Struthio camelus: one gene and its partners. The protein of the gene in region 1 interacts with the protein of each later gene in a pairwise test. Links are inferred from orthologs where the notes say so. Each region holds a gene or a part of one and is shown in the gene's direction. Other genes may lie near its edges. The genes, in order: MEOX2, AIRIM, FUCA2 and TRIM42.

Region 1 (7,687 bases):
GTCAAGATCGGGAAAAAACAAAATGGAAAACATATTTTTCAGGCATCATTGCCTTGCTTGCATGTGCACTTTGAGTACATTTCTAAATACAAATGAAAGATACATATTACTAAACTATTATAGAAGGGTTATAATAGCCATTTCTCAGCTCAGAGTACTTAAGTGGAGATAGTACTAGAAAGTGAAACAATTGGTAAATTGCAATATCGTGCAGACTGGGAAATAAATGGTATTGTGCAAGACAGTTCTGTTTGCAAATAAATTATCTATTTAAAACAAACACACATCCAGGTTTGGAGGAGAACTTGTTTTAAGGCTTCTGAGTATCTAATGTGGAATGCAAGTTTCCCATCGTTCAATCTCTAAAAGCATTCCTGAAACATCATAGCTCAGGTGTGAAGCCTCAAGTACATTAACTGTTTTAATATTTCATCTGTTTATTTAAATTAAATAGGAAGCATAAGATATTTTACTGGTTAGAGTGGGCTGGCAATTCAAATAACTTTTAATGATGTAATGCAAACTTGTAAATCATTTTCCGTGAGGGCCTCATAGTTCAGCACAGCTTTTATGTAATACACTAAATTGCTGGCATAGCTTTAAAATTTGTAATACTTGGAGATCATGAAAATTAGAACAGAATCCATATGTATACAGGAGAAGTAACTGAAAATATGGATTCAGGCTTAAAGCTTCTATAGATATGTTGTAGCCTTTAAACCAAAAATTGTATCTGATACGTATTAAACCATGGCACATGTAAATGCTAAAAAGAGTGGAATGGAAGTACACCACAGAAAAGAAATGTTCAGGTTATGTGGTGTGCTTGGCGGTAGTATAATTTCTCACAAAAACTGCTTTTATGGTGAAGTATAGTGAAGATACTGGCATAGTAGGTTTATGAATGGGAAATGCGATCATCATCCTTTTTAACTATGGAGGAATTCAGTATTTTTGACAAGCCCGTCAGCACATTATTCATTTTCTGCATAAGGCTTTTCAGTTAAGGCATCCAAGCATCTCTGAAACGATGCATAACTGTGGCTTTATTACTGCTTGTATCTATAGGTTTTCGTTACAGCCTAGGTATCAAGAGAAATGAATTATATTGCTTCTACGGGAGTTAAACGGGAAAATTTAGGGGAAAAAGAAAAGACTGAAAATAAACATACATCTGTTGTGAATCTGGATTGACTCTAAGGTTAAATAATGATGCCTGCCTTCACCAAATTGCCATGGAAAAATATGAACTGATCATAATTACAGTACAATAAAATCTCGTCCTCTTGCTTTGGTAGGCTCTTGAGTACAATAAAATCTTTGGCTAAAATAAACTGAATTCATATTTATAAGCTTTCTCTTTGACAGTAAGGAGCATATTCTCAAATGGCGAAAAATGTCATCTTTACGCTGACTTCTACAAAGCTATGACAGTTTATACCACTGAAATACTGGTCCGCAAGTATGACTATTTGTCTGATGTTCTCGTAGTATGCATATATTAGAAAGCTGCGCACTAGAAAGAAGTGTACAAGAATCTTGCTTATACTCTGATAAATACTCAGGAAGATGGTGCATTTAGCCTCCAGCGTAAAAGATTGAGCGAGACTACGGAAGTCCTGAAGCTGAGGAACTCTACGCTGATTCATTCAGGTCAATTTTTATGTGATCCCTTTTACCATAAATGGTAAATTAAAACAAAACAAAACCCAAAAAATAAAGCAAATGCAAATATGAGCCTGTATATGAAAATATAAATGATGTCCCAAACTATTTTGGCTACGGATGTTTTTAAGAGTTAAACAGTTTACTGTTTTCGTATGTTTAAAACATTCTATTTTTTCATTTGATGTTGTAAGCTTTGGGCAAACTTGTTGGCATTGATTTAAGTTATGCTTTTGTACCACATGTAGGTCAAACACACATTCTAAAAAGATACAACATGAATGAGAATCCAATCAATAATATTGAGAGGTAATAACTGTTTACACTTTCTTCAGTAAATATTTCAGTGAAAAGCTTTGCAGTGGAATTTTCTTTGTCAGAAAAGTTGCACGTTTTTTACAAAGGATGGCATAGTATATAGTTATTTGATAACTCCATAGAGAAACTTCTGAGGATATTTCAGTAAACGTTTGATGTTGTTTATTCATGTCAACATTAATTGCCTATATTTGCATTCTGCTTATATTATTTAAAATGAAAACATAAGGCTCTACAGAAATTTGTACTTCCAGCTCTTGTGTGCTTAAAAACTCTCATTGAAGAAGAAATAAGAACACTTGATGTAGGACTTGTGTACTTATTAGGGGAATTAAGATCCAAAGGAGATACAGTCCCCAATATTCGGATTTGATTATGAAGCTAATGGCGAATGCTTAGCTCTGTCATTATTACTTTGTTGTTGGGCTTTTTTCTTCTTCTTCACCTTTCGGAGCCCTTCCTACCTCTGCCTAAAAAGTGCTATTTGGCTCCGTCTCTTATTTCTCCGGGAAACCTAATCTTTCTCCCTCCCCCTCGTACCCTCTCGCTGTCTTCATTGTACTTCACTTATTTCGCTTTTTATCCTCGAGAAATCCTGTGCGGCCATCCCCTAGAATTTAAAGGAAAAAAAAGGGGGGGGGGGGCATTCTTACACCGGCGCGGCTCTGGCACTTCCCCAGCCCCGTCGCAGCTGTGTCGGGGTCAGGGCTGCCGCGACGGCGGCGGTGGCAGGAGGGGTGCTGGCACTCCTGCCCCCCCGGCGCGGCCCGGCGCGGCGCCGTCCCCCCCGACGGCGGCGTGCCGGCGGCAGCAGGTTGACGGGGCGCGCCGCGCCCGCCTGCCCCCGCGGAGGGCCGCGCAGCGCGGAGGCCGCCGGGGGATGGGGGGGAGCCGCCGGCCGCCGCTGCCGGGGCTCCCACCTGGGGCCGCCTGCGCCGCCCGCCCGCCGCGGAGCCGGCGGCGCCTCGGGCCGCCCCGACGGGGACACGGCCCCGGGCGAGCTGGCTGCGGCTCGCCTGCAGCTCGAAGCGCGAGGCACCGCGCTCGGCGAGGATCGCCCAGCTCTTGCTGCGTGACACCCCGCTACTTCTTAGGGACAACGGCATCACTGTTCTCACAGCCCTGCGAGTTAACAAAACCAAGAGTAGTTCAGCCATTGCGTTCGCTTTGCGCTCCCTTCTTTTAATATTAGAGCACATATTGAAACGATAAACACAATGAAAAGCACAAAATATTTCATCAGTGTTGTAACTGTATATTTCCTTTATTCTGAAGAAATATCAAGTTTTGAACAGTGCACAGAGGCAGCAACTTCTGCTTTGGACGCCACGCTCTTTTTAAAGACCGCATTGTTACACTTAAATCTAAAGACAATTTTTCAAAAGCATTAGATCTCAGAAAAGGGGGGAAAATCTTACCGTCGAAAGACTGCTACAGGTTCCAGCTCAGTCTGAAACTGCAGGGAAAAGTGGAGCAGCTGCTGAACAAAAGTTTTAGTTTTTTTTCAGAAAGTCTGCAAAACTAATTTCCCACAAAATAGGACTCAATTTCCGTTTAAGAAACTAGCTCTTGCAAATCTCATACAATTCCTGATTTTTTCCAATAGCAATTGAAATTCATTTTATCTTTCGCACATGGGCCCAAGAATTTAGACTTGAATGGCAGGAACGTAATGGTTTTGTATGTGTGCGTGTTTTTTTTTTTTTTAATTTTGATTTGGGAGGAGGAGGAGGAGGAAGGTAGACCGAGGAGGAAGGGCTAAGCAACAAAATACTTTCGCAGTGGGCACCTCTTGGGCAATGATCAATAAATACGTTATCGTCATTTAGACCAGTTAACTGCCTTCTTCGTGGCTACTGTTAATTCCACTACAAGCATGTTAAAAGGAAAAAAGCCAAGCACCGACTCTCTAGCCGGTCCCTCTTGAGTCACTAAAGACCGCAACGAAGAAAATGAAGATATAGAGAATAAAAATAATGTGAGTTCTTGCTTTGAAGGGGCAGGGGGCAAAGAAGGAAACTGTCTTTCCTCGACCATGTTTCGTAGCTCGTTAAGCGCCGGTTATTTCGTTGCAACCCTGCCTGCCGGCCCCGGCAGGTCCTGTGCGCCCAAGGCCAAGTGCGGAGGTAGGTGCGGGCACCCCGCGGAGGGCGGCAGGCCACCTCGGGCGCTGCAGATGCGACACGGGGGCAGAGCGAGGGGCGGGAAGCGCCGCGGCCGGACCCGCGCTCCCCCGCGCTCGGAGGACCGCGGCCGCCGCGGCGCCCGCCCGCCCACCTGGGAGCGCAGGTGAGGGGCCTCGCCGGCCCCTTTCGGCCCCCGAGAAAAGGTGCCGGCGCTAGCCCCGGCCCCCCCCCCCGACCCGGGCTCCCGCTGCCCCCTCAGAATAACCCCCGCGGACTGTGCTTCACGTGTTTATTGCGCTCCTCCGCTGGCTTTCCAGGGGGCGGTGGCACTCGGAGAGGCCCCGACGGGGCGGTGATGGCCCCGCGCGGGGCCGCACGGCTGCGGGGGCACCGCCGCCCCCCGGGGCCGCCCCGCCGAGCCCCGCGGCGCCGGGGCGCGCTCCCCCCCGGCCCGCCCGGGGGCAGGCAGGGGCGGGCTGCGCCCCCGCGGAGCCGGGCCGGCCCCCCTTCCCCCACCCCCCGCGGCTGCCGCGGGCGCCCGGGGCGCGGGCGCGCAGCGCTGCCGCCCGCTGACGGAGCGGCTCGGCGCGGGGACGGCGCTGGCGTTTTGGAGGGAGTTTGCATGTGGTCAGTGCTGTGCTCCTAAGCCAGCCCCCAGCTCACATTACACACTACTGTATTTATAACCTCTGAGAGCTGTTTCCCCCTTCAAGCAGTTCTCTGGGACCACCTTCTATTGGCTTCAACCTCTCCCACTTCTTGACATCTGAGCAGCTCTGAGAAAGGCTCATCTAGGTCCGAGTGTTTATGCAGCGGAGACTGGCCACTAGGGCTAAAGACCTGGATTATCTGAGCTCAGCTGCCTGCTGCAAAGTCTGTCGTTGCCGTTTTGGAAAAAAAAATCCCAACCCCGATCTGTTTACAGTGAAAGTTGACAAAGGGTGGTGAAGTTGGATCTTTCCTAAACTCTCCTGCCTGGAACCTGAGACTTGCATGCCATGGATCACACACTCTTTGGCTGCCTGCGCAGCCCCCATGCCACTGCGCAGAGCTTGCACCCTTTCTCCCAGTCTTCTCTTGCCCTGCATGGAAGATCTGACCACATGTCCTACCCTGATCTGTCTTCTTCTTCTTCCTCTTGCATAATAGCGGGATACCCCAATGAGGAGGGCATGTTTGCCAGCCAGCATCATAGGGGGCACCACCACCACCACCACCATCACCACCACCACCACCAGCAACAGCAGCACCAGGCTTTGCAGACGAACTGGCACATTCCTCAGATGTCGTCTCCTCCCGCCGCGGCCAGGCACAGCCTCTGCCTTCAGCCCGACTCAGGAGGACCCCCGGAGCTGGGCAGCAGCCCCCCCGTCCTCTGTTCAAACTCTTCCAGCCTGGGCACTAACACCCCGACGGGGGCAGCGTGTGCGCCAGGGGACTATGGCAGGCAAGCTCTGTCCCCGGTGGAAACAGAGAAGAGGTCCGGCAAAAGGAAAAGCGACAGCTCAGGTAACGGCTCACGCTTTGCCGTGCGGGCGGGACCCCCGGGCGGAGGGTGCCGGGGGGTGCGGCGCTGCCGGGCCGCGGGTCCCCCGCCGCCGCGGGGCTCTGGCCGCCCGCTGACACCGGGCTCCCGGGTCGCGTCTTCACTCAAACGCGCTCTCGAGAGCTCCATCATTAAAGCAAGCTTTTTTAGGGCTACGGGGCAAAAATAAAAAGGAGAAAGCCAGCACGTGATAGAGCATGAAATCGGGGGGAAGGGGGTGGGCGAGTTTCGTATAGTCCAGGAGAGAAACGTTTGTAGTTTTGACGAGGAAATTTTAGCATCTGGTGCCGTGTTCCCCTTCTCCCCCCCCCCCCCGCCCAGCGCCCGATACACCACCTCTGCTGCAAAATTCAGAATAGAGCGCGCTCGCTTCCCCTCCCGCCCCTTCCCCCGCGGCGCTCACCGCAGCTCCGCGGCGGCTGCACAGCGCCGGGACGCTTCGCCCCGCAGCGCGGCCGCGGCAGATCCGCGGCCCGGCCGGGGCCGAGCCGGGAGTCCCTCCGCCAAACGGGGGAACTGGCGTCTCAGACCGCGAGTTCAGCTGAGCGTCCTTGTGCCGGGGGCGGAGGGAAGGAAGGAGCTGTCGGACTTTGAAACGCACCACGATTTTTCACTCCAAGACGAGCATAAAAACGTGCAGACCCGCGGTCGTGGCGGGATGATGATTAGGCATCGCTAAGCGTGCAAACGAACTGCCAAAATCTCTGCTTTTAGCATGGCCAAGCCAGTCACAGCCCCATACTGACAAAAGGCATTCCGCGACGGCAGTGCGATGGATGGCACTTCCGTTGCAGCAGATACAAACTGAAGGCTCATCTAAGCTACACTGAGACAGGCAGTAGGCACTTGAAAAAGAGAGTACTCAACATTTTGAAAACTCAGGAGCGGGCATAGCGAGTTTCTTGGTTGCTACCAAGCAAGGGAAAGTGAAAGGATTTTGCAGATATTTATGAAGTTCACTGCTGAAACTGTGACCTCTTTCACTTGAAATATTTTGAGCTTGGTGAGCTGGTAAGCAATAGAAACTATTTTAAAAAAGTACTTCAAGGACACTGTCATTTTGTTCATTACCCATTACGTTAGGAAATGTTTACAGTGATTCAGGATGGGTTTAACTTTATTTTATCGTATGTAGCTGGTATATGGGTTTTAAAACCGCCAAGATTGAAAGCCATATTTTGTAAAACACTTGTAGCAAAATCTATTGTTGCATCTTCACTACATTTTGTGGAATAAAAGGAATTCTCTGATTCTGTGAGGTCTATGAGCAGTACTAAAATTTGTGTCCCCATTGCTACTGGAAAATAACTGGATGCCTGTTTGTGTAAGGCTTTATTATCTTTTGTCAGACTGTTTAAAGCTAAAAGAAAAAAAAGATATTGATGCCTTTCACTGTCAGGGAAATGTCTGCATTGCTTTCTGTTTATTCCATTTTGCAATGCAAATGCAAAAAGCAGCGGGGAATGTCTCAGACCTCATCCTGAAGCCACTGGAGTCTTCCATGGGATTTAGTGGACAAGAGCGCAAGCCTTTAGTCGTGATTATGTTTATATTGCACTGTACTCCGAACTTCACTTTCTAAGACTTTCTGAAGATCAAGGCAGGTAACTATTTCCTCCTCCCTTCCCTTAAGAAAAAAATATATGTCCGTTCACACGATTAGGAGTCTCTCAAACTGAAAGTTGGTGCCTTTTGACGACAACTGAGTTGCCAGAGAATCTTCGGTTTTTCTTCAGGAAAAAACTGACTTTTGGACCGACCTTTTAACCCCACCCCTTTATTAAACCTGAACTATGGTGCTAGATATTTAACGTCCTTCTAATGTATGGCAGCAAGAACTATTTGAGTCAATGTGTTTCTGTATTTGTCATCCATAATCGCTCCTAATTTGAATAAAAATTATCTCCTACTTTTCCCATTAATCCGTTTTTTAAACAAATCACCATACTTTAAAGAATCCCGTCCTCCCCCTCCCCACTTATGAGACATAATCATCACACTTGGAAGTACTTCAATAGGCGTTTGTATAAAA
Region 2 (6,322 bases), on another chromosome or scaffold:
GTCAGGCACACTGATCAAGGCACGCTTAAACCCAAGGTCTTTCGTTACAGATTCAAAGAGTCATCAAGGACCATTTTGCAAATAGATGACAGATACATAAAGCAAACAGTTAAGACCTCCTCTGTATTAAAGATTAACAGAGAAATAGAACACAAACCTGGAATCAAACTTGGGTGTGACAATGGAAGTACCTCCCCGAGTGCAGACATCAACAATTCTACCAGTAGCTGGAGTGATAAAGTTGTTTCTGCTTGATCTGCTAAAGAAAAAAAATCCTGCTCTGAAGAATCATTTTAACATATGTCCGAGCCCTGTCTTATCATAGCCTCAAATGAAGGGGCCACCACAGAAAAAAGTCAGAGGTTCTTACTGATTAAGGGTGAACCTCAAAGCTAGGGATAAGCTGATCCTCAGAGGAGAGGAAGTTGCCTGTCTTTCATTCACTGTCAAATCACTGATTGATTTAGTAGGCTGATGCATAGGCATGCCATGCTGTAGAAACATACTCCATTCCACTTGAGTTTTATGAGCAACACACTTACTCTCCTTTTCTGAAAGCCAGTGAAAAGGCTATCTCCTGATACCTTTTACTTATGCGTTTCACTCTTGTTGAAGGAGCTCTTCTGCTCTTGGTCACAGGCACTTTTTTGGTGGATGCCTTCACCTGAAACACATGACTCAAATCAGTTATATTATCACCAGACAGCTGAGCCCAACATGAATAAATGCTTCCACACAAAGAGTTTGACTTAATAGCTTCCTTTTTAAGGCACAAAAAGCCTGAACCAAATGCCATACAGACTTCTGTAGTCTTTCACATTTTAATATCACTCATATGTTCCCCCCCTAGCTCTGCTGTAGATTAGGAGGACACTGGACTACATGAACTTAATCTGACCCAGTACTGTCGATATATTCATTATTGCCCACAGCAAAAGCAGCAGGAACTGGCACTGGTAAAGAATTTTCACTACGGTTAGAAAAGTCTCTAGTATAGTGAGTATCACACTCTGTATACAACCATAAATACATTAGCTCAGAGGAAAGGGATGAAGAGTGAGACCCTGCAGATCTACAGAAGCAATAGAAGCAGGGATCAAGCATTTGCACAAAGCTAAGTAACTGCACTCCAAAAGCAAATGAAAAACCAAGATCCCCATCACTAGACATTCCAGGAGACAGTGGCTAGCTATTTTCAAGTCCTCTTTGAAGTGCCGTGAACACCATTATCACAGGCATCATCTCAGTGAAATAGTTTACATCTTGAGAACAGAGTCATCATAGCAGTAGCTATTTACCTTCCCAGTTCTCGGATTAATATTTTCAGCTTCTAGTTCTGCAAGAGATTGGTTATCATGTTTTGTCTTCTTTGCTTGAGGGTGTAAAGGAGACTCTGCTTCTTCTTCAATAGCTTCAATACCCTGTTTAGATTTTTCAGCTAAAAAGAGAAAGTGTTATCTAAGCTGAAAGCAATAAGTCATGAGCTAGCAGTTGGGTCAGAAAATAAACAATGATAAATATTTTCGGCAACAATTTGCTCCTGAAATCCAAATCCCAATAAGAGCAGCTGATAGAACACTATTATTTAAAGTTTTGTTCAAAAAATTAAGTAAAATTACTTCTGGTAACAGGAATAAAGGAAGAATCATTTTATTGTGTTTAAACATGTTGAAGGCTGTAAATAGGAGTTGAATTATCATTTACAGTACACAGACCATTGTAAGCTTTCATCTTATTGAACTCATCACAATCCTTAAAAGCAAACTGACCTTTCTTGATGATTTTTAAAGGAGTCTGGATAACTTCCGCTGTTAACTTGTTTATTTCTGTTATTTCCAAGTCTACCTACAATTAAAAACAGTAATGATAACATTAGAATCATCAGTACAGCATAACTGATGAGCCAAAGTCGTGGAGCAAATGCTTAATTATTCTAGAACAGAAATACATCCATATTCTTCTGTTGTGCTCAAACTGGGAGCTTTCATGTTATTCTAGAAGTGACAGCAACTTAACAGGAGTGCATAACATTCAGTACTAAGGAGTCTCATTTGGCAGCTACAAGTATCCTTCTGCCTCTTCCCTACAGCTTGGTTTTAAGATGCTTTACAGAAAAGTGCATATTCTCTCAGGGATCTAAGAGTGAAGTTAAGCAGATCAGGAAAGCTAGCAGCGCACCCTAGGCAAAGAACAGTATGGTCAGACAAAGCCTACAATAAATACAATAGATGTTTATTACCTTTAGGTCTTAACACAGTAGCTGTGAAAGTGTTTATGCAGTCTGTGTTATTGTAGCCTTTGTACAAATTCAAGAAACCCTTCTCTCCTACAGGGGCATAAAATGTCCTCAGGAAAACATAGTATTTATGTTAGACACCTACCGTTGCTGCCTCTTCTAAGACCTTTTTGCTTCCTCCTTTAGCTACAAGGAAAACATTAAAAATCAATATACATCCAGGTCAGCTTATACAATGCTTTAATACTTCACCAGAATGGTGGAAAAACACAGCACAAACAAGTTTCCTTGGCAGCAAGTGAGCAGCCTAAGGCAAGAAGAGAGGAGTGCTTCCAAGAGTACTCGCAGGCTTTTCACTCACGAGACTTAAGGCACCGTGGGATTCAGTTTTCTCTGGCACGGTTTTTCCTTCCCCCTCCCTCTAGCCTAAGGGAAGCCCCGCACCCGGCGCCCCCCCCCGTACCGAAGTAGTCGAGCCAGTTCATCTCGCGCACGGCCAGCGGCAGCCGGAGGATCTCGATGTTGTACAGGTCCTCCACCTCCTTGACCAGGCGCTCCCCGTTCGTCCGCAGCCGCTCGGCCCGGCTCTGAACTGCGGGGACGCGCACGGCCTCACGCCGCCGCCGCCACCCCCGGGCCGCCCCCCACCACCACTGCGGCCCTCCGCGGAGCCGGCCCGGGCCCCCTTCCCCGAGACCCCCCCCCCCACCGCCACCCTCCGCGGAGCCGGCCCGGGCCCCCTTCCCCGAGACCCCCCCCCCCACCGCCACCCTCCGCGGAGCCGGCCCGGGCCCCCTTCCCCGAGACCCCCCCCCCCACCGCCACCCTCCGCGGAGCCGGCCCGGGCCCCCTTCCCCGAGACCCCCCCCCACCGCCCCCCTCCGCGGAGCCGGCCCGGGCCCCCTTCCCCGAGACCCCCCCCCCCACCGCCACCCTCCGCGGAGCCGGCCCGGGCCCCCTTCCCCGAGACCCCCCCCCCCACCGCCACCCTCCGCGGAGCCGGCCCGGGCCCCCTTCCCCGAGACCCCCCCCCACCGCCCCCCTCCGCGGAGCCGGCCCGGGCCCCCTTCCCCGAGACCCCCCCCCCCACCGCCACCCTCCGCGGAGCCGGCCCGGGCCCCCTTCCCCGAGACCCCCCCCCCCACCGCCACCCTCCGCGGAGCCGGCCCGGGCCCCCTTCCCCGAGACCCCCCCCCCCACCGCCACCCTCCGCGGAGCCGGCCCGGGCCCCCTTCCCCGAGACCCCCCCCCCCACCGCCACCCTCCGCGGAGCCGGCCCGGGCCCCCTTCCCCGAGACCCCCCCCCCCACCGCCACCCTCCGCGGAGCCGGCCCGGGCCCCCTTCCCCGAGACCCCCCCCCCCACCGCCACCCTCCGCGGAGCCGGCCCGGGCCCCCTTCCCCGAGACCCCCCCCCCACCGCCACCCTCCGCGGAGCCGGCCCGGGCCCCCTTCCCCGAGACCCCCCCCCCCACCGCCACCCTCCGCGGAGCCGGCCCGGGCCCCCTTCCCCGAGACCCCCCCCCCACCGCCACCCTCCGCGGAGCCGGCCCGGGCCCCCTTCCCCGAGACCCCCCCCACCCTCCGCAGCGCCCCCCCAGGCGCCCTTCTTCCAGGCCCCCTCCCCCTGAACCCCCCCCAAGGCCCACCACCCCCCCAGGCCGCCCCCCTCCAAACCCCCTTCTCCCAGGGCCCGCCGCGCCCCCCAGGCCCCCTCCCCCTAGACTCCCCTCAGGGCCCGCCGCCCCCCCAGGCCCCCTTCTCCCAGGGCCGGCCGCGCCCCCCCCCCCAACCCGCGGGCCCCCCCCCACCCTCGCGGTCGAAGTCCTTGAGGAAAGCCGCGAGCTTCCTGCTGCGCGCGGTGGCGCCCGCCCTCCTCCGCGCGGGGGCCATGGCGGCCGGGCCGGGTCGAGCCTGGTCGGTGGCGGAGCCGGTGTCGGTGCGGCCTAGCGGAGCCCGCCCAAGGCGCGTTTAAACCCAACCGCCGCCGCGGGCGCGGCCAATCGGGGCGCGGCGCGGGCGGCGCGCTGACGCAGCACGGCGGCGGCGCGCTGACGCGGCGCTGACGCAGGGCTGAGGCGGCGGGCGGCATGGCGGCGGCGGCGGTGACGATGGCGATGGCGGCGGCGCTGCGGGCCTGCGCGGCGGCCGTGGCGCGGCAGGAGGCGGCCTGGCGGGCGGCGCTGGCCGCCTGGGCGCCGCTGCTGGGCTCGCTGGGCGGGCTGGCGGCGCAGGCGGGCGCGGCGCGGCGGCTGGCCTGGCGCGGCTCGCCGCTGGGCGCCTTCGGCGGGCTGCGGGCGCGGCTGTGGCGGAAGCAGCGCGGCGCGGCCGAGGCGGCGCTGGAGCAGCTCGGCGGGCGGCGGTGAGGCGGCGGCGGCGGCGGCGGGGGGGGCGGCGGGGGCCGGGTCGGGCCGAGCCGAGCCGAGCCGCCGCGTCCCGCGCAGGGCGGAGCTGCGCGCCGTGCGGGACGCCGTGGCGGCCGCCGTGGCCGCCGTGCTGCGGCTCTACGAGGAGCGGGCGGCGGAGCTGGGCTTGGCGGCCGCCCTGCGGCGCGGGCCGCGCTGCCCCTCGCTGGCCGAGGTGCTGGAGGGGCTGCAGGACGTGGAGCGCTACTACCGGCACCTGTATCCTTCCCCCGTGTCGCGCCCTCCGGTGCCCCCCTCCCCCGGTGCCGTCCCCCCTCGGTGTTGGTCCTTATCGGGCAGGAAGGTATCTGGAGAGCAAGCTGCTGCTCCTGCGCATCAGCTGTGACAGCCTGGCGGACATGGAGGCCCTGCCGCAGTCCTGGGAGAGGATCCTGGAGCGCTACAAGCCAGACGTCGTTCAAGGTAGTCCCCCGCGTCTTGGTGCGGCTCCGTGCTGGCGGTGGGGCCCGGCAGGTGCCCTCGCTGCACGTCCCGCTGCAGTGGGTGAGCTCGCTGCACGTGCGCTTTCTCTTTGCAATGTGCTCCGAGATCTTGCCTGTGATTTATGGGGTAAATGAAGTGGCATCATTGTGCATAGCAAAGCAGAGAGCTTGGTGCTTTCTTTTACTTGGTCTGCCACGATAACGTCGCTTAAGATTCTTTGTTATAGCTTTTAGAAATAAGTTAATTTTCTGTGGACGTACAGTACAAATAAAATGTACTAAACTAATTATTTCTTTTTTTTTTTTAGATACACTTCTTAAGATTTCTCTTTTTCTTGACAATCAGTGAAAGCTGTGCTGCTAACCAGGCTCCTGAGGGAGGACAGGAGACACTGATGTTGATCATCTCCTATAAGTATCTGGTATAAGACTTGTGATATAGCCATGAAGAGGAGGATGAGCTGAGTAAGCGTTTCTCATGTCTTTTGGAAGCTAAGTTGATACGTGGCCTAGGAAATGCTTGGGCTGTTCCATTTTCAAATGGAAATGGACTTAGTATCCAAAGAAGACAGCAGGAAGTGAGTTGTCATCTCCACCTGCAGAAGCTGGCCGTTCTCTTGTGTACCCTGGATATTTTGCATACCGAAAGAAACGTTGAGACTCATTAAGTTGCAAAGAAATGGTACCGATTGTATTTAGAAGGGTCCTGCAAATAAATAAATACATAAATAAAACATAGTGTCCTGCACTTTGATATCACGTAAGAGAGATTTTTAAGTACTGTCCTTACAAATAAATAAAAGATGCCGAATCAGGGCTTGGAAACTCTTTGTGCCTTGTGCCTCTGAGCAACGTATTTTCTTTCGTCCCATCTTCCATACAATCCCACGTCTTCCCTCAGTCATCTGTGCAGTGAAGAGGAAAGCTAATTTGGTCTGAAAATGTGTTCGTGGAGGTACACGGATAAAGCTTAGACACGTGAGGTCTAGCAAGTGCAGTTTTCAAGAGTAAGAGTGTACTTTGTAGCATTGTTAAGGGAAGTTTTGTTACTACGTGGCCTTCAGAGCTGTATGATGTTTCGATGATGATCCTAGATGAGCTTAACAATCCATTTCTTTCATATAAAGACTGAAGGACATAAACTCTTTGTAGTTGAACACGAGTTAGGTTCTGCACCCTTGTCAAATTAATCCACAATTTATCAAACATCCTTGTGTAAAGAGATGGACATAAGGCTTT
Region 3 (7,686 bases), on another chromosome or scaffold:
AGGGAGCCTACGATGTCTCAAAGGGCCAGCTTCCACCTCCAAAACACCCCAAGTGCAATTGCAGTGGTTAACTCCTAGTGGAAGAAGGGATACTGATTCACAAATGTTTGCCTCCCCTGTTAACGAAACCATCCTTAGGAAGGACTAGAAGGTAATACAGGTACAAAAGCAAAATTCTAACGCGCCATTCAGGCGAAACGCGTGGAGCAGCAGCGCGAGGAGCCTCGACGCCTGCTCCAAAACGCACCCTGCAGCCCCCTCCGGGCTTTCCTGCCCTAGCAGTCGGAGGAGGTTAGTTCAGCTAACGTGACCCAGCCGCGTCCGGGCCGGGTCCCTTCCGACCTGAAAACACGGAGTGGAACACCAGAATTTCGATCAACACCACCAGCGTGAGTGAAAGCGCCAGCGCGGGCACCCAGTCGCTGACACCCGACGGGACGGCGCTCGCGGCGCGGTGCCGGTCCCCGCGGCCTCTGGGCGGCTGGCTGCCCGGCGCCGAGCGCCAGCGCCGCCCGCGGGCCGGGCTACCCGGCCGGGACCCGCGGCCCCGGGAGCCGCCCGGCCTGCCTTACCTGAGCCGCCCACGGCGGAGCGGAGCAGGCAGCTCCTGCGGCAGGAGGCGACGGCGGAGAGGTCGCTCTGGGAGCGGCCGCGGGGGCCGGGCGGCGGCGGGGGCCAGGCGGGCGGCGGCGCCCCCGCGGCGCTCCGCGGCCGCCCCGCCATCGCCGTCGGGGAGCCGGGCCGGGCCGGGCCGAGCCGAGCCGCCCGGCGGGGAGCCGAGGAGGGAGGGGAAGAGGCCGCGAGGGAGGGCAGAGGGAAAGTTGGCGGAGGAAGAGCCGCCCCTCGCCTCCGACCGCCCCGGCGCGGAGCCGCCCCGCCGGGGCGGTCGGGGCACTTGGGGACAGCCCGGGGCGGGGGGGGAGGAACCGCTCAACGTTGTGCTTGCGTGGGAGCCGGCAGTCGTCCCCTGCCTCCTGCTTGAGCCCCCCGGTGGCTGCCAACGTGACCCACCGGCGAGGCTTTTCAGAGCCCCGAGTTGTGCCGCCCGGGCGCAATTGCCGCAGCCGCCCGCCCCGTCCGGGCGGCACCGGGCGGGCCGGAGGGGCAGCCCGCACCTGCGGCGCCCCGGGGGGCGGAGGAGGAGGAGGAGGAGGAGGAGGAGGAGAGCGTTCGTGCCTTGCAGCTCTTCCTGACGCCGGCAGCGGCTGTGACTCGGTAATCGCTTGGCTCCGCTTAACTTTCTACTCTCAGAAGGAAAAAACTTAGCATCATTAGTGAGTGGAGCAACTGACAATATCAGTTTTGTTTTCCTCCACCTGCCATCCTCCCGCAACAAAGAGGTTGCACAATGCATTGCTGAAACTGGTAGGGACTGTGGTGAGTCAAACCTGCCCGAGAGGAATGCTTTCACGTTTAAAGGGTAGGCATTTCCCCAGTCGCTGTTACACTGTTAGACAACAAGCTTTACACAAGGGTACAAACACGTGACTCAACATTTTCTAAATACATCAAGAAGTGATTCCTTCTGCCTTTCAGAGCAGAAGCAGAACTGACACTGACTGCAGGAAAAGTAAAAAAAAAAAAAAAAAGTAAAAAGTACAAAATCAAGCCCCGTGGTTTTGGTTTTTTTTTCATTTTTCAGATGTACTTTTCTAAAAGGAATCGACATAAAAGGTAATAGGAGAAAATATAATGGTTTCATTTTCATTGCTTTTTTTTTTTTTTTACACAAATAATTCTATATTCTGCCTTGAATAAAATCCCAACTGCACTGAAGTGAATGGTGAAGACTGATAGGATTTCACTCCATATTTTTAAGGCATCCAATATCACATGATCTAACTATCAAGGATGAAAGTCCCATTCAGATGATATGGAAAGACTCTAGTGTCTAGCACTGCTCAGGTCTGAATCAAATCCTATCAAGTCTGAAATCTATCCATGTGAAATTCAGCTATGGGTCTCTATTTCCCACTTGGAAACCAAGTGCCCTCCCTGCAACGCCTGCCCCTGTGCAGCTCCCCTGGCACACTCATTATGCAGTGTTCCCGGCAGTCATACCAACTGAGACACCGTTTGCCTTTGTCCAAGCAATCGATCCAGACTGCAAGTCTCATGTGTCAGCAATTAGGTAGGTCAAAAGGTCTGCTCTGTTCATCGTTTCCCAAGGGATTGCCTTCATTTTTCCCTCTTCTTCCCTCCACTGAGAGACCATTCCTTTCCTATATGAACTGCAGAAAGCAGGACTGTGCTGTACAGGCTTCTCCTCACTTGTGGCAGCAAGGAGCTCCGTACTTACAGACCTTCCTATGGGGGCCAGATTACTCCTGCATTGTACAGACACTCTCTAGCCATGTTCAGAAAGCTTCCTGTAAAGACATTGACGTTGGTCTCATATTATACGAAAAATGTCATAATGTACTATTTTAACTATCTACCCTTTACAGCTTGCATCGTTACAGATGTGACTGTACACTGAGGACCTTTTCTCTCACTAGAGATTTCAGTGGCTAAGCATGTGTGGGCTGGTGACATTTTCTGAAGCAGGTTAAGTCTTAATCAGAAGTAAACTCATGACTCCTCTTTACTGAACTGTTTTCTTTTATTTTTTCTTTTCTTTTCTTTTTTTTTTTGAGCTTTTTTCTTGGATGATCTTTCCCTCAAAGCATTTTCAGCCACACAGCAGTTGTAACTTTGGTGTGCTGCACAGAATAAGCTTCAGAGAGTATGCTTCAAAACTCACACATTAAGGAGCTGCTCAATGCCTGAAAACCTTTGGTGTTGGCCAGTGATCAAAAAGAAAAAACTGCACAATGTTAAGAAATCCAAAGAGAAACTAGAAAAGATATCGTACCATGAGGTCAAAGGAGTTTAGGAATACCTTTTGAGAAGCAAAGTGACATCTAAAGGAGTGAACGTAAAAGAAGACATAGAGAAAGTAGGTCAATGTTGAATATAAAAGACAGAAGTATGAAGAGGCAGAGGCAAAAAAGAAGAAGAAAAGGAAAGGCTCGTATGTGTGATTTTCAAAGGGCATTTGTAAATCAGGGTAATGTGAACAGTCAGACAAAAAGGATGATACCATGGAAGCCAGAATGTTTTTTAAACAACCTGCAACTTAGTACACTCTTCAAGGTATATAACTGAAAACATTAACAAACCATGTATGTATGTTTCTTTTTAATAGCCATTTAACTGTCTTTGGACAAGTGTAATAATTGTGGCTAATGGCTCTGGAAACTGAAGTTCTACTTCTACGGATCAGGAAAAGCCTCAACAGCAAAGTGTACATCTCTCCCAGGTAGAAAGAGATTGCTTCAGTTGCCTGCCCGTCTATTTTTCAACTGTTCTGATGAGGTTGCCAATGCAATTTCCATGTGCGGTGATGATTCTGGAAAGTTACTATTTGCTCATTAAATCAAACTATTTCACAAAGGCCATTCACAGGCAACTAGGGACTGACGCAAAAGTATGCAATCCAGGTATCAGGAAAGACTGAAGGAGCAGTAGCCCAAGCTAAAAAGACGCATCTTTTAAAGTATGTGTCTGCCACCCATGACCTGCTGCACGAATATGAAGTGCTGGCTACTGAAGGAAGGGAGCTTCAGTACAGGCTTCCTCCAAAATCCTTCTAACAAGGAAACCTCTACTTGACGAGTCTGGGGGGTACCTTTTTGCCCTGGAAGGTATAACCACCTGGTGGGCTGAAAGGAGCTCTGCAGAGCATTAAAACTTGCACGCTGTCATGCTCTGTCAGGGAAGTAAAGCTCTGTGGTGGGACGTTGAGCCTGCGGCAGGCAGGAGACAGGAAGGTCAAACCAGCAGCCCGCGGAGGCCACCGCAGAACCAGGCTAATTGCCGGCAGCTTTTCAGGTCAGCGCTGACAGAGAACAATCCCAATTTGGTTTCTGAAGAACGGGCTGGTACCTAAAGTGCAGCTGAGTGCTAGCAGCTCACGACAGATGCTCCTGGGGAAGGAGAAAGTGGAAAGAGAAAGGCAGGATGTTGTCCAAGGTAGAAAGAGGTCGCTTCCTCTTCTTAAAATCCTCTTTAGCTATTTGTGATACAGCAGCTAGATAAAACAGTAGTGATTGACATGAAATCCCTGGCTTGCACGCTTTTCCATCTAAAACCCGGGGAACTATGAGGTTCTGTCACGGCAGTTGGAAAGGGATACATAGGGAAGAAATAAGACTAGGGAGAGAACAGAGAGGGGCACGGGCAGCAATTACTGACGCAGAATTAGCGCCGTTCATCCAGAGACAGCAGAGACGAGTAAAACTAGGGCTGGTGGCTTGCTCCGAGCTGCGGTTCAGTAGGCCGGGGAGGCGGTGGTGGGGTGGGGGAAGCCTGGCCCTCCCTCCCTCCCGCCGCCCTCCTGTCAGCCCCTCGCCCCACAGCCGGGGCCTGCCCGACGGGCCCGGCGGCTTCGCTGTCACCGCCCCCCCGCCCCCAGCCGCGCAGACGTGGGCGGCGAGGGCCGCCTTGCCCCGGCGATGCCCGCGGTAGCGGCCCAGGCGGGTAGGACTAAAGTCCCCCGCCCCGTCCCGCCCCGCCTAGGGGGTCACCGACATGGCGGCGGGGGCGGGGCGGCCCCGCCCGCGCCGGAGGCCAACGGCCCCGCCCGCCCGCCGCGTCGTAACGGCCGGCCGCGGCCCCGGCGCCTGTCCTGCCGCCGGCCGCCATGTCGCCCGCGGCCGCCCGCGCCGCGCCGCTGCGGCCGGCGCTGCCCGCGCTCCTGTTGGCGCTGGCGGCGGCGGCGGCGGCGGGCGGCGGGCCGCGCTACGAGCCCACCTGGCGGTCGCTGGACGCCCGGCCGCTGCCCGCCTGGTTTGACGAGGCGAAGCTGGGCGTCTTCATCCACTGGGGCGTGTTCTCGGTGCCCAGCTTCGGCAGCGAGTGGTTCTGGTGAGCGGGCCCCGGGCAGCGCGCACGGGAAGAGGGGGTCCCGCTGCCGCCGGTCAGCCGCGCCACGGCTGGGAGGCTTTTCTTGGAAAGCAGCTCCCTGCGCAGGCGGGTGTGGGGGTGGTTTTGCTCCCCGCCCCACCACCGCGGTAACGGGTCTGTTCCGTGGGTCTGACGCCCCTAAGGAGAGGGCCTGTGGAGCTGGGGCCTGTGTGCAATAGGCGTTAACCTGCCTCAGGGCCCGCAGTGAGGCCGGAAACGTTGTAACCCGGTTTGAGGAGGAAGCAGAGTTTGATATGATTGCGGTATGGGTGCGTCCGCCTGTCCGTCCGCCCCTAAACCTCGTGAATGTGTTGACTAACGTTGCAGAGAGGCTAGCGAGCGGGAAGATGTGCTCTGCTGCAGCGCTGCTGCAAGGGGTGACTGCAAGAGGCAGGCCTCGCTTGACCCCACGGGCTGAGGAGCTCTCTTTTCCACTGAAACGAACCTAAAGCTCTGATCCTGCAGATAATTTTAATTCGGAAGCTGGATAAAAACTTTGGTTTGTGTGAGTGTTCGGTGGCTCGGGCCCTCTGGCTGTAGCTGTTTGTTTTGCCATCTTCTTTGCGTGCGCTGCCCCGTGCTTTCTGCCTGACTTTGAATAAGTCACGTTACCTTTGTGATATAAAGGTAATAATGGGTGCAGAGCTTAACGCAATGTCCGCAAAACAAACCGACATCAGTATAAGCAAACCACTATTTTCTGTTGAAAAAAATCTGGCTTACTCTGTTCAGTGTTTCATTTAAGGGTTTCAGCAGTTTTTTTAGCATGGGTTTCATTTATTAACTAATGACTTTCTGGAGGGTAAAAAAGTTAGTTTTGGGTGCAGGCATTACTCAGAGCGCCATGCTCTGATACTCATACACAGATTCAGGCTCACACGTTCGTTCTTTTGTTTTTCTTCTGAAAAGACCCCAAAACGCTTTAACAGTAGTTGATGAAGTTTGTTACATCTCTGTTGTCTCCGCTCCTTTGCCATGCATAGGAGTGGAGCTGCTTCAGGGACCTCCAGATAGCACTCAGGTTGGGTAATGGAGGCCTGTTGTTAACAGCTTCAAATGGGAAGTCATAAACTCCAGCTCTCACCCAGCCCATTGTGCTACCCTCAGAGTTATGCAATCTTGGTCAATATGTTTCTGAAACTTAATGCTTCTATTCCAGTAGTTTTTAACGTTGTTAGCAAACTGTATGACAAAAGAAAAGAAGCAGGAGAAGGATTTCATCTGTTTCTTTATGCAACTGCATACTTTCAGATGAGATTTTTTTCAGGCTCTTCCATGGAGGAAGACTGTCTCAGCCGCTTTCTTCTAGTGTTGTGGTTTTTTGTTTGTTTGTTTTGTTTTGCTTTTAACCCACTGGCTGCCAGAATCTGTGCCTCTTTATGCTGAGGTGCCTTCAGGGAGGTTTTGGCAATATCCATGTGGTGACTCTAGTCTTACAGAAATGAAGTTAGAGTGCAGTTCAGGACAGAAGGCATGAACACATTTCAGACATTCAGGTTTTGCACTGCTTTATTCCTTCACTTTGAATTTGGACTCATTTATGCCTGAATCTGCCAACAGGATTTTGCTGCTTGGCTCCATTTGTAGAAAGGTAAATGCTTTCAGACGCTTTTCCCATGAATACTATCAGTCACAGTGTTCCCAACAGTAAGGCTGTTTATGCAGTAGAGATTGTTGCATTCTCTTCTTGGATCTCCTCTTTTATTACCGGAAGGGGAGGAATGGAGCGGGCTGAAAATTAATAGTGGTCTATCAGTGATTTATGATCTCTGCCCACGGTGAGGGTGAGAGACCACTCTTAACAGAGCAGAGGTCCCAACCTTGCTGTGGACTGGGGCAGTTGGAATAGTGATGTTGCTATGTTGAGTGTTGATGTGATGGAAAAACAGGATAGAAATTGCCCCTGCCTTGCAGAGGTGGGCTGCAAAAAGAGGTCATTGTCTTGCTTCTCTTCTAGTTCCTAAGTCTGGATGCGCTGCTCCTGTGGTTTGAGGGAGAGGTATACCTGCGTGTAACGGTATACCTGCGTGTAACGGTATACCTGCCTCTTTGTAACTGGGGCTGGGGCCGCCTTCTTGCGGAGGCAGGTTGTTGCTGGAGGATGTGCCTTCCAGTAGGGTTGCTTTGATTCACAGCCTCACGTGTGCTATGGCTACAGGACTTTTGCAGTCAGGCCTCTCTCCTGCTTCGGGACCATGAGCATCAGCTCGCACATCAGGTTAATCGGCTGCATTTGGTGTGGAGGACTCTGGACCAGGAGAGAGGCAAAGCTGCTGGCCTGCGTGTTTGTGGGTTGCAGATGTTGCAGTGTGGGGAGCAGAGCAGGAGCATCAGACTGATGTGTGAGACTGGAGAAGGGTGAGTCATGTTAGCCAGAAAAAGTGCATTCCTAGTGACATCTGACCTGCTTACATGAACTGTGCAACTGCGCCCTCTAGTAAATTTTCAGGATTTGGATACTGAATAAGACTGCCATTTTTTCCAGTCCCAAAGTACAGCTGCTTTGCGACATAGCTCCAGATAAAATCTCAGCACCTTTCCAAAGTGGAGTACTTGGAAAAAAGTATAGCATGGGGAGAGAGGGCAGAGAAAAGGAAATCTTCGATAATTGAAACTGTTACTTTCTGAAGTGATTTTATTCCATTTCCAGTTTCATGTAACAGCATGTGCCTCAGTGTTAATGCAAATAGGAGCTGATGATTTCAACTCACTTATCTGTATTTACATAATATGTCAGAG
Region 4 (7,049 bases), on another chromosome or scaffold:
ACCAGAAGGAGAGAGGACGAAAACTGAACGATGAGACCAAATTTCAGACACTCCGATCCGCGCAGCAGCAGGCGGCTCGCCCGCGGGCCCAACGGCCGCCCCGTCCCCCCCACCGCGCGCGCCCAACGGCCGCCCCGTCCCCAGCACCGCGCGCGCCCAACGGCCGCCCCGTCCCGCCCGCTCGCGAGCCCAACGGCCGCCCCGTCCCCCCCACCGCGCGCGCCCAACGGCCGCCCCGTCCCCAGCACCGCGCGCGCCCAACGGCCGCCCCGTCCCGCCCGCTCGCGAGCCCAACGGCCGCCCCGTCCCCCCCGCCGCGCGCGCCCAACGGCCGCCCCGTCCCCCCCACCGCGCGCGCCCAACGGCCGCCCCGTCCCGCCCGCTCGCGAGCCCAACGGCCGCCCCGTTGCCTCGGCGACCGGCGGCCCCAGGGCACGGCGAAGCGCCCGCCTGAACGACCTCGTGGCGCTGTGACCACCTTGTGCCCCTCTCAGAGAGGCAATGAGGCCCGTACCTTTCCTGAGATGTGCTGGGATATTTAGCGCAGCCCTAAAATTGCCGTCCCCCAAGCGCTCCGAGACCTCTCCTCTCGAGACCCGGCCAGGGGGCTGTGGTGGGGACCCGCCAGCCGGGTGAGCGCGCCAGTTGGGGTGCCTGAGGTCCCCACACTGCCCCTGCGTGGCGGGCCAGTCCCGAGGGCCTGCCCAGGAGACCCCCGACATGACAGACACTGTGGTGCACAGTTCGAGAAATAAATGCAACAGCTGCCACTAATGCCCTGTCTGCTTGTGAGAGCAGGGACTGAATGATACGCATAATACATACCTAGTATTTCCAGTCATTCTGTGAAATGCCTGAACTTTCATTTGTTCCACCGAATGACAGGCCTCACGTTGTGACTGTTAACACATAAAGCCAAGAGGCCTGCACGTAACAGGACTAAGAAATGAGTTGGGAAAGACCATGCATGCTGACCCGCAGTAACGGCATGTTATTACAGTTTCTTAACATCTATGACAAACACATCCTCTGGAGCATTTTGTAGCGTTTCACTGTATACCTCTGAGATCTGTGCAAAGGGGTATAAAATGCTACTATTTCTCTGGCGCAGCATCACTGGAAAGTTCTTGGTCTGTGGGAAATGCATCTGTTTTGAGCAGCATGTTACATACATACCAAAATTAAAATTCTTAATTTTCTTCTAAATTTCTTTTCCAATGTTTTTCATGAAGTCTTAAAAATAACTCCTAAATGCCCTCTGATTATTCCAGATACTTCTTTTTATTCCTTTGGTGAATTTTATAAGGCCCAGAGAATTTGAAAACACAGATTTACTTAAGAGTAACATAGCTTGTTGTTCTCTTATTTTACTCTACATAGTTGGTAACTATATGTTGCGGGTGTTAATTGTGTTACTACATGATCACAGTTAATCTTTTTAATGAAGAACACAAAAAGTCATTAGCAATTCCTTTTCTCTGGCGTTGTTGTTAGTTTTCCCTCTGGCTCAGATAATGTACTCCGCAGATACTGTATTTCGCATTGCCAGTCAATCCTAACATTTGTAATTTTTGTAGTGTGTAGTATTCAGAAACACTTTTGAAGTCAAAGAGAGTTTGAATGACTGTTAGATGTACATTAGTATTACCTTTTCCATGGAGTAGTCCTACATACATAAATCAAATAATGCTTTCTTGTATCCATTAGCAAAAAGCAGTAGAAGGAAAATTTATCATCATTTTTCCTCTGTCTTCTTTATCCATAGGCATATGGAGCTCAGCGTGGTATACTTACACAGCTTTAGAGCGATGAAGGAGCCTAAAGCTCACAATGTACTCTCTTGCTTTACTGGCTGCTAATCTTTTTGTCTCATCATCCCCCATCTCTGGTCTAGCTGCTGTCACCGGTCTGCCTCCATAGCAGCTGAGCCCTCTCAAATTTTCTGCTGAAGAAAGGCAGAGAGCAACTGTGGAGAGATTAATATTTCAACTCTGCCTTTTTCAAAAGAAGCCATCCAAATATTTCTGTGGCTTGGAACATAAGGGTAGCCATTTGGCTAGAGATGAAGGGTTGAATTATGGAGAGGCAATGAAGCTCTACAAAGCAAGAAAAAAGCTAATACTGTAAACCCCACTATTTCCTAGGCTGTCCCATCACTAGGGAATTGCCCTCTAACAGATATACCTGTTGTAAAGTGATGCTGGAAACAATGAACTAGAAACTGGGAGTCTTCTTACGAGAAAAGGGACAGTCTTTTTGCCATTCTGTTGCTGGTTGCTGCGGGCAAAGCCACAGCTAACCAGAAATAATGCTTTGAGAAGTGACTCTCAGTTCTGAGTGCCTCCGTTTTAGGGTGTATAACGTCAGGCTTTTTATATTTCATTCTTTAAGACCCCCAAAGCAGACATTGCCATGTGCTGCAGTCAATTCACCTCAATCACTTCATTTTATTGATAAAGAGCTGCTATACCCTTTAGAGAGAGAATCCTGCTGGGCTACATAGTTTTATAGGAAGGACAGTAAGGTAGCAGTCCCTCTTCCTCCTCTCCCTGACTCACGAGCTTGCTTTACCTCTCTGGCAGTGCGTGAAGGCAGCCAAAGTTAAATTTTCCAAGTTGCTGAGACAGTGCTTACTTTATATTCTTGCGTGAAGTAAGGATGCAAGCAAGAGACAGGTTTCCTTCATTCTCCCTTATTTTTTGAGTTGGTGAAAGGACGAAGAACTGCAAGACAATAAGCTTACTAAGAGCACAGACATGAGGTGCCTCACCATACTCATCGTAAGAGGAATAAATAATTTAACAGAGAAATTACATTCAGGACGTTAAAGATAGGGTTGGGGTAATACAGGAGAACCTAGCTTTCCCCTTCATTGTAGTGACAAAACACAACTAAGACCTTAACAAACCCGCTGATACCTGAAATGTGAGTGGTGAGGAACGTGTCCATGACATTTCATTATTATTTTCCACCAATGATGGAGCAATACACATATTCACGTCTGTTCTCCTCTCCAGTGAATAAAAGTCTAAGAAGATGCTATACACAATCCAGTTCTCAGGTGAGAAGGAGACAACCGATGAAACCCAGATTCATATCATAGTGTGTTACTATACACACTAGTTAAGGAGTAAGCTACAAATGGCATATGGTCTTTCTTCCAACTTTTTGTACATTACTAATCATTGTGCATTCTAGAATTTGAGTTAGAAATACTAACGTTAGAAATATCACAGAGATATCTGGAGGTAGAGCAAAAGGGAGAAGAAAGAAAAAAAAGACAACAATCTTAGGCTTATCTTGAAAAACACAACTAAATAGGATAAGCTGCCAAGTGAAAAATATTAGATTATATTATTTGACAGCTAACGGAAGTACAACACAAGTGACTATATGTAACTAATATGAAGTAATGGAAACTGACCTGTGTCTTCACCGTACTGTGCTTTTCTTTTTCCTTTTTTATTTCTCTCTCTCTTCTTGGCTTTCCTTGAGCACTAGGGTAATGGCCATATATCATAACAAGGCCTAAGAGACTCAACACCTTGCAGGGTCAGGCTCGTTTGTTGATGAAGCCAACCACATCTGAGCCTGGCTGTCTTGAGAACTGTGATGAAAATGACAGCCAGACCCAACCACAACAGAGGTGGGGGCAGAGGGGAGCATGTTTGCAAACACTATTAAAAGTCCGTCAGTTTGGCTGCAGCTGTTGCATCTAATTCAGTTTCTCTGGCAGCCAGACTGATTTGATCTTTCAGTATCTGTTAGAGGAGAATAAACATACTAATGAAATGGGATCATTTCAGAACTGTCTGCACGTTCATAGATAGACTCAGAGAGGGTCACCTATACTGGGAGCTGCAAAGGAATGAGGCCGATGGTGAGAGTAGTTTTGCTAACGCAAGAATTTGACCACTAAAGCTACGGGAATTATATGGGGAGGTGGGGACAAACAAGTTCAAGGCCCAGTGGAAAAACACAACTCATAGAAAAAACACTAAAAAAAAAAAAAAAGGTGTTGCTCAGAATGATAGATGAAGAAGGTACTCTGAACAGCTGCATTGTGTAGAGATGGAAAAGAGAGCCATAGGCACCAGCTGCTAAAACTTGGCCATTAACGTTTGCTCTGATCTAAAATGTGATACACAGGACTAAGATCTGTTTCCTTTTTTTTTTCTTTACTCCTCCACCTCTCCTTTCTCAAAAAAGGATATAAGAATGCTTGCATTTTGGAAAAGAAAAGCAGACAAGCATCACAAGATACCTTTTTTTCTACCGATTAATTGAATTCAAAAGTGTTTTCATCTTCTAAAATTAAACATGCAAAATAAAAAGCGTATTACCTTTGATTAAACTGGAAAGACAAATGGAGTAACTATCATCCACTAAAGGTACAGGTTTTACTATGGAAAGAATTTTAGCGCACAGATCTAGTGCTTATGCATGAAAACCCCCTTGACACAATAGGCATAACCATTCCAAAGGACCTATTATGGCCCATCATGTAAATAGCTACCCATAATGACACAGCCATTATGGTCCATAGGGCTCTGGATCAGTGAATTAAAATTTCTCTAGGCAGAACAGACTGAGCAAAGAGGCTCAGAGGAGCTGTTACAATAAACTATGTCAAGACCTATCTTAGTAACTCACAGTTATACATTAACCCATTAACACAAGCTGATTTGCTAAAGAAGCTCTTAGCAACCTACAGTACAGAGGCCACAATTAAAAGTAAGTATTCTTGAAAATGTACCATATAGACACCACTATTCTTTACAGTTTCAAGTAAGAGAATAAGCTGTTTTAGCTGTCTGTCACAGGTGACTCCTAGAGGATGGATTTTCTTTTTTTATATATCTGCATTACAGTAAGCTACTAGCATACTGAGAAGCTTATACATACTTTACAATAACTTAATTTTTATTCAAAATTATTATCCCTGTAAACAGATATAAAATGCTATTTAAATCTTGGAGTAGGTCACCTAAATTAAGGCAGAAGGTGCTTAATATGAGGTAACTAAAGAATAACTAAAATATGATGTCTAATATTGCATTTATAGGAGAGTGGGGCACTTACAGGAGAGTGGTGAGTTTAAGGAAGGACAGGAAACACACTTGGACTTCAGGAAAGAAGGCAGGTCCACAGTGAATGAGCAATAGTACTGAACCTACAACCCAAGTTTAGTTCCTTTCCTTAGGCCTTGAGGGAACGAACGGCATACATTGTTCAAGAGCACAAACGCTGGCAAACAAAGGCTTATAATAAGGACAGTTACAGGGAAATGCTTCCAGATGCATGAATCTTAGTTCTTTCATGTGTTATGCTTAACGTCTTATGAAGGTTTGATGAAAAATCTCACTATAGCTGATTAGGGCCTGATTCAGGTCATTCACTTATGGCACCCAACTTAGCCAATGAAATGTCTATAAAGTAAGTGTGTTGTCTTAAGAACATGGTTGCCTTAGGATATCTAGGTGTGTAAGCTGCCTATGCGATTAATGGAGAATGAGGTAGATGTTTTCAAGAAATTCAGGAAGAATGATTATAGTTACTGTGATGTACAGATGATGCCATCAGTGTGTCAGCTCTATGTGTGTGAGATTCTGCCTGTGTCCTTATTTGAATGTGTCACTGTGACATCCTTATTCTGTTCCAGTTAGAACAGGACATTAGAACGTTTTCACAGCACGGAGCTTGACCCAACAATCAAACCGCAAGCCTTCTTGAGAGCCAAATTGCTGTAAAGCTGTAGTGTGAGGAGAAGCTGAGAAGATTAATGAACTTTCTTCTAAGTGTCTGATAGAGTGATGGCCAAAAGTGAACGTCCCTGTTTAATCCACCCATGCTGCTCAAACTGCTGCTGCTGTTACCTGACTTGCCACAGCAGAAGCGAAGGATGCTGTTTGTGCTGGCGCTTCTTATTTACCAATGAGCGGAACTGCAGCTGTTTCCCATGTCCGTATGCAGAAGATGCACCCTGCCAGTGTTGCCACTGCTCATGTGCAGAGCATGCAAATTGCTGGTGGTGCTGCTGCTCTTGTTCAAATGACCCAGACTGTAAATACTACTGCTGTGGTGGGGAGAACTCAGCGTGTCAGTACTACGAAAGCAGATGCTGCAGAAACTCTGTCTACAAACCACACCACTCAAGAGCACTAGGGACTGTTCAGTAAGTGGAGTCAAAAGCTTTTAATTTCTTGTGGGTTTTTTCCTTTTTTCTGATTGACATTATGTCTTAATGGATGCGCTGCATTTAGGAACATAAGATCTGTTGGCTTGATAGAGTCCAGTTCCCAGCTATTTCAAGTAACAGCAGGATATCATCTTAGAAGATGAAATTGAAAAGCAGAAGGGAAGGGGCCAATTATTAAATACAGAAACACTAAGCTAAAGAGGAGTCAACTGAAAAGGTATTCTCCAATACCTCTGTAGAATAGCTAGCAAGCTAGCAAAAGAACTCGAGACTACAATAGCAGCAAACAGAAAGGAATTGACAGGACTTCTGGAAATGTATGGTCTATTCCTATATAGCGAAACCAGGAAGAGCAGAAGGAATCTTCACAGCAACAGAAAATTCTATTCTCTTTAGTTTACTGTTTGTCATGGACAACAGAAGCTGATAGTATAGTTGCTATTGAACATGTAGGGAGAGAATGAGGGAAGGACAACAACAGCAATATGAATGCTAAAAAGAAATACAGCAGAGTGCCAGACTGCTGTGGTCCAGAACGAGATCTACAGGAAACATTGAATACTGGTGTTCCTGTCAAGGCTCTGGAAACTCTGTTAACTACTCGTGGAGTAGTACAAAGGTAACATTGGATTTTTAAAAGAATAACGTCCACAGGGTAAGAGGCAGGCTAGAACAATCAAGATTTGAAGATAACAGGGATTTACCATGGCCTGAAAGGCAGGCCTCTTCTGTAGTAATCCAGAATGTTTACCTAGATTTGAAAGCCTTAGCAATTAAGATAAAAGAATCAATCACAATAAGGCTGCTACTAACACTAAGGATGATCTTCATTCATTCTATTAATCGGAAA

What was found.
Region 2: the proteins of MEOX2 (region 1) and AIRIM interact in binary tests that used the Homo sapiens proteins (3 or more experiments, as listed by UniProt). The two-hybrid records come from large-scale screens. The link is inferred for Struthio camelus from reciprocal best matches to the Homo sapiens genes MEOX2 and AIRIM.
Region 3: the proteins of MEOX2 (region 1) and FUCA2 interact in binary tests that used the Homo sapiens proteins (3 or more experiments, as listed by UniProt). The two-hybrid records come from large-scale screens. The link is inferred for Struthio camelus from reciprocal best matches to the Homo sapiens genes MEOX2 and FUCA2.
Region 4: the proteins of MEOX2 (region 1) and TRIM42 interact in binary tests that used the Homo sapiens proteins (3 or more experiments, as listed by UniProt). The two-hybrid records come from large-scale screens. The link is inferred for Struthio camelus from reciprocal best matches to the Homo sapiens genes MEOX2 and TRIM42.

The regions. Positions count from the first base shown.
Region 1 is NC_090943.1:33,643,142-33,650,828, reverse strand, and holds the start of MEOX2 (homeobox protein MOX-2), read left to right. Parts: upstream 1-4,677; 5' UTR 4,678-5,107; coding exon 5,108-5,618; intron 5,619-7,687. UniProt on the Homo sapiens protein: Mesodermal transcription factor that plays a key role in somitogenesis and somitogenesis and limb muscle differentiation. Required during limb development for normal appendicular muscle formation and for the normal regulation of myogenic genes.
Region 2 is NC_090964.1:10,953,088-10,959,409, reverse strand, and holds AIRIM (AFG2-interacting ribosome maturation factor), read left to right. Parts: upstream 1-4,352; coding exon 4,353-4,597; intron 4,598-4,679; coding exon 4,680-4,859; intron 4,860-4,944; coding exon 4,945-5,063; intron 5,064-5,391; coding exon 5,392-5,432; 3' UTR 5,433-5,817; downstream 5,818-6,322. Other genes in the region: CDCA8 (borealin), read right to left, coding at 158-259, 585-664, 1,299-1,438, 1,770-1,845, 2,382-2,422, 2,700-2,828, 4,047-4,128. UniProt on the Homo sapiens protein: Part of the 55LCC heterohexameric ATPase complex which is chromatin-associated and promotes replisome proteostasis to maintain replication fork progression and genome stability.
Region 3 is NC_090944.1:77,011,832-77,019,517, reverse strand, and holds the start of FUCA2 (plasma alpha-L-fucosidase), read left to right. Parts: upstream 1-4,678; 5' UTR 4,679-4,684; coding exon 4,685-4,908; intron 4,909-7,043; exon of another isoform or gene 7,044-7,246; coding exon of another isoform or gene 7,247-7,305; intron 7,306-7,686. UniProt on the Homo sapiens protein: Alpha-L-fucosidase is responsible for hydrolyzing the alpha-1,6-linked fucose joined to the reducing-end N-acetylglucosamine of the carbohydrate moieties of glycoproteins.
Region 4 is NC_090950.1:10,498,903-10,505,951, forward strand, and holds the start of TRIM42 (tripartite motif-containing protein 42), read left to right. Parts: upstream 1-4,027; coding exon 4,028-4,060; intron 4,061-5,846; coding exon 5,847-6,175; intron 6,176-7,049.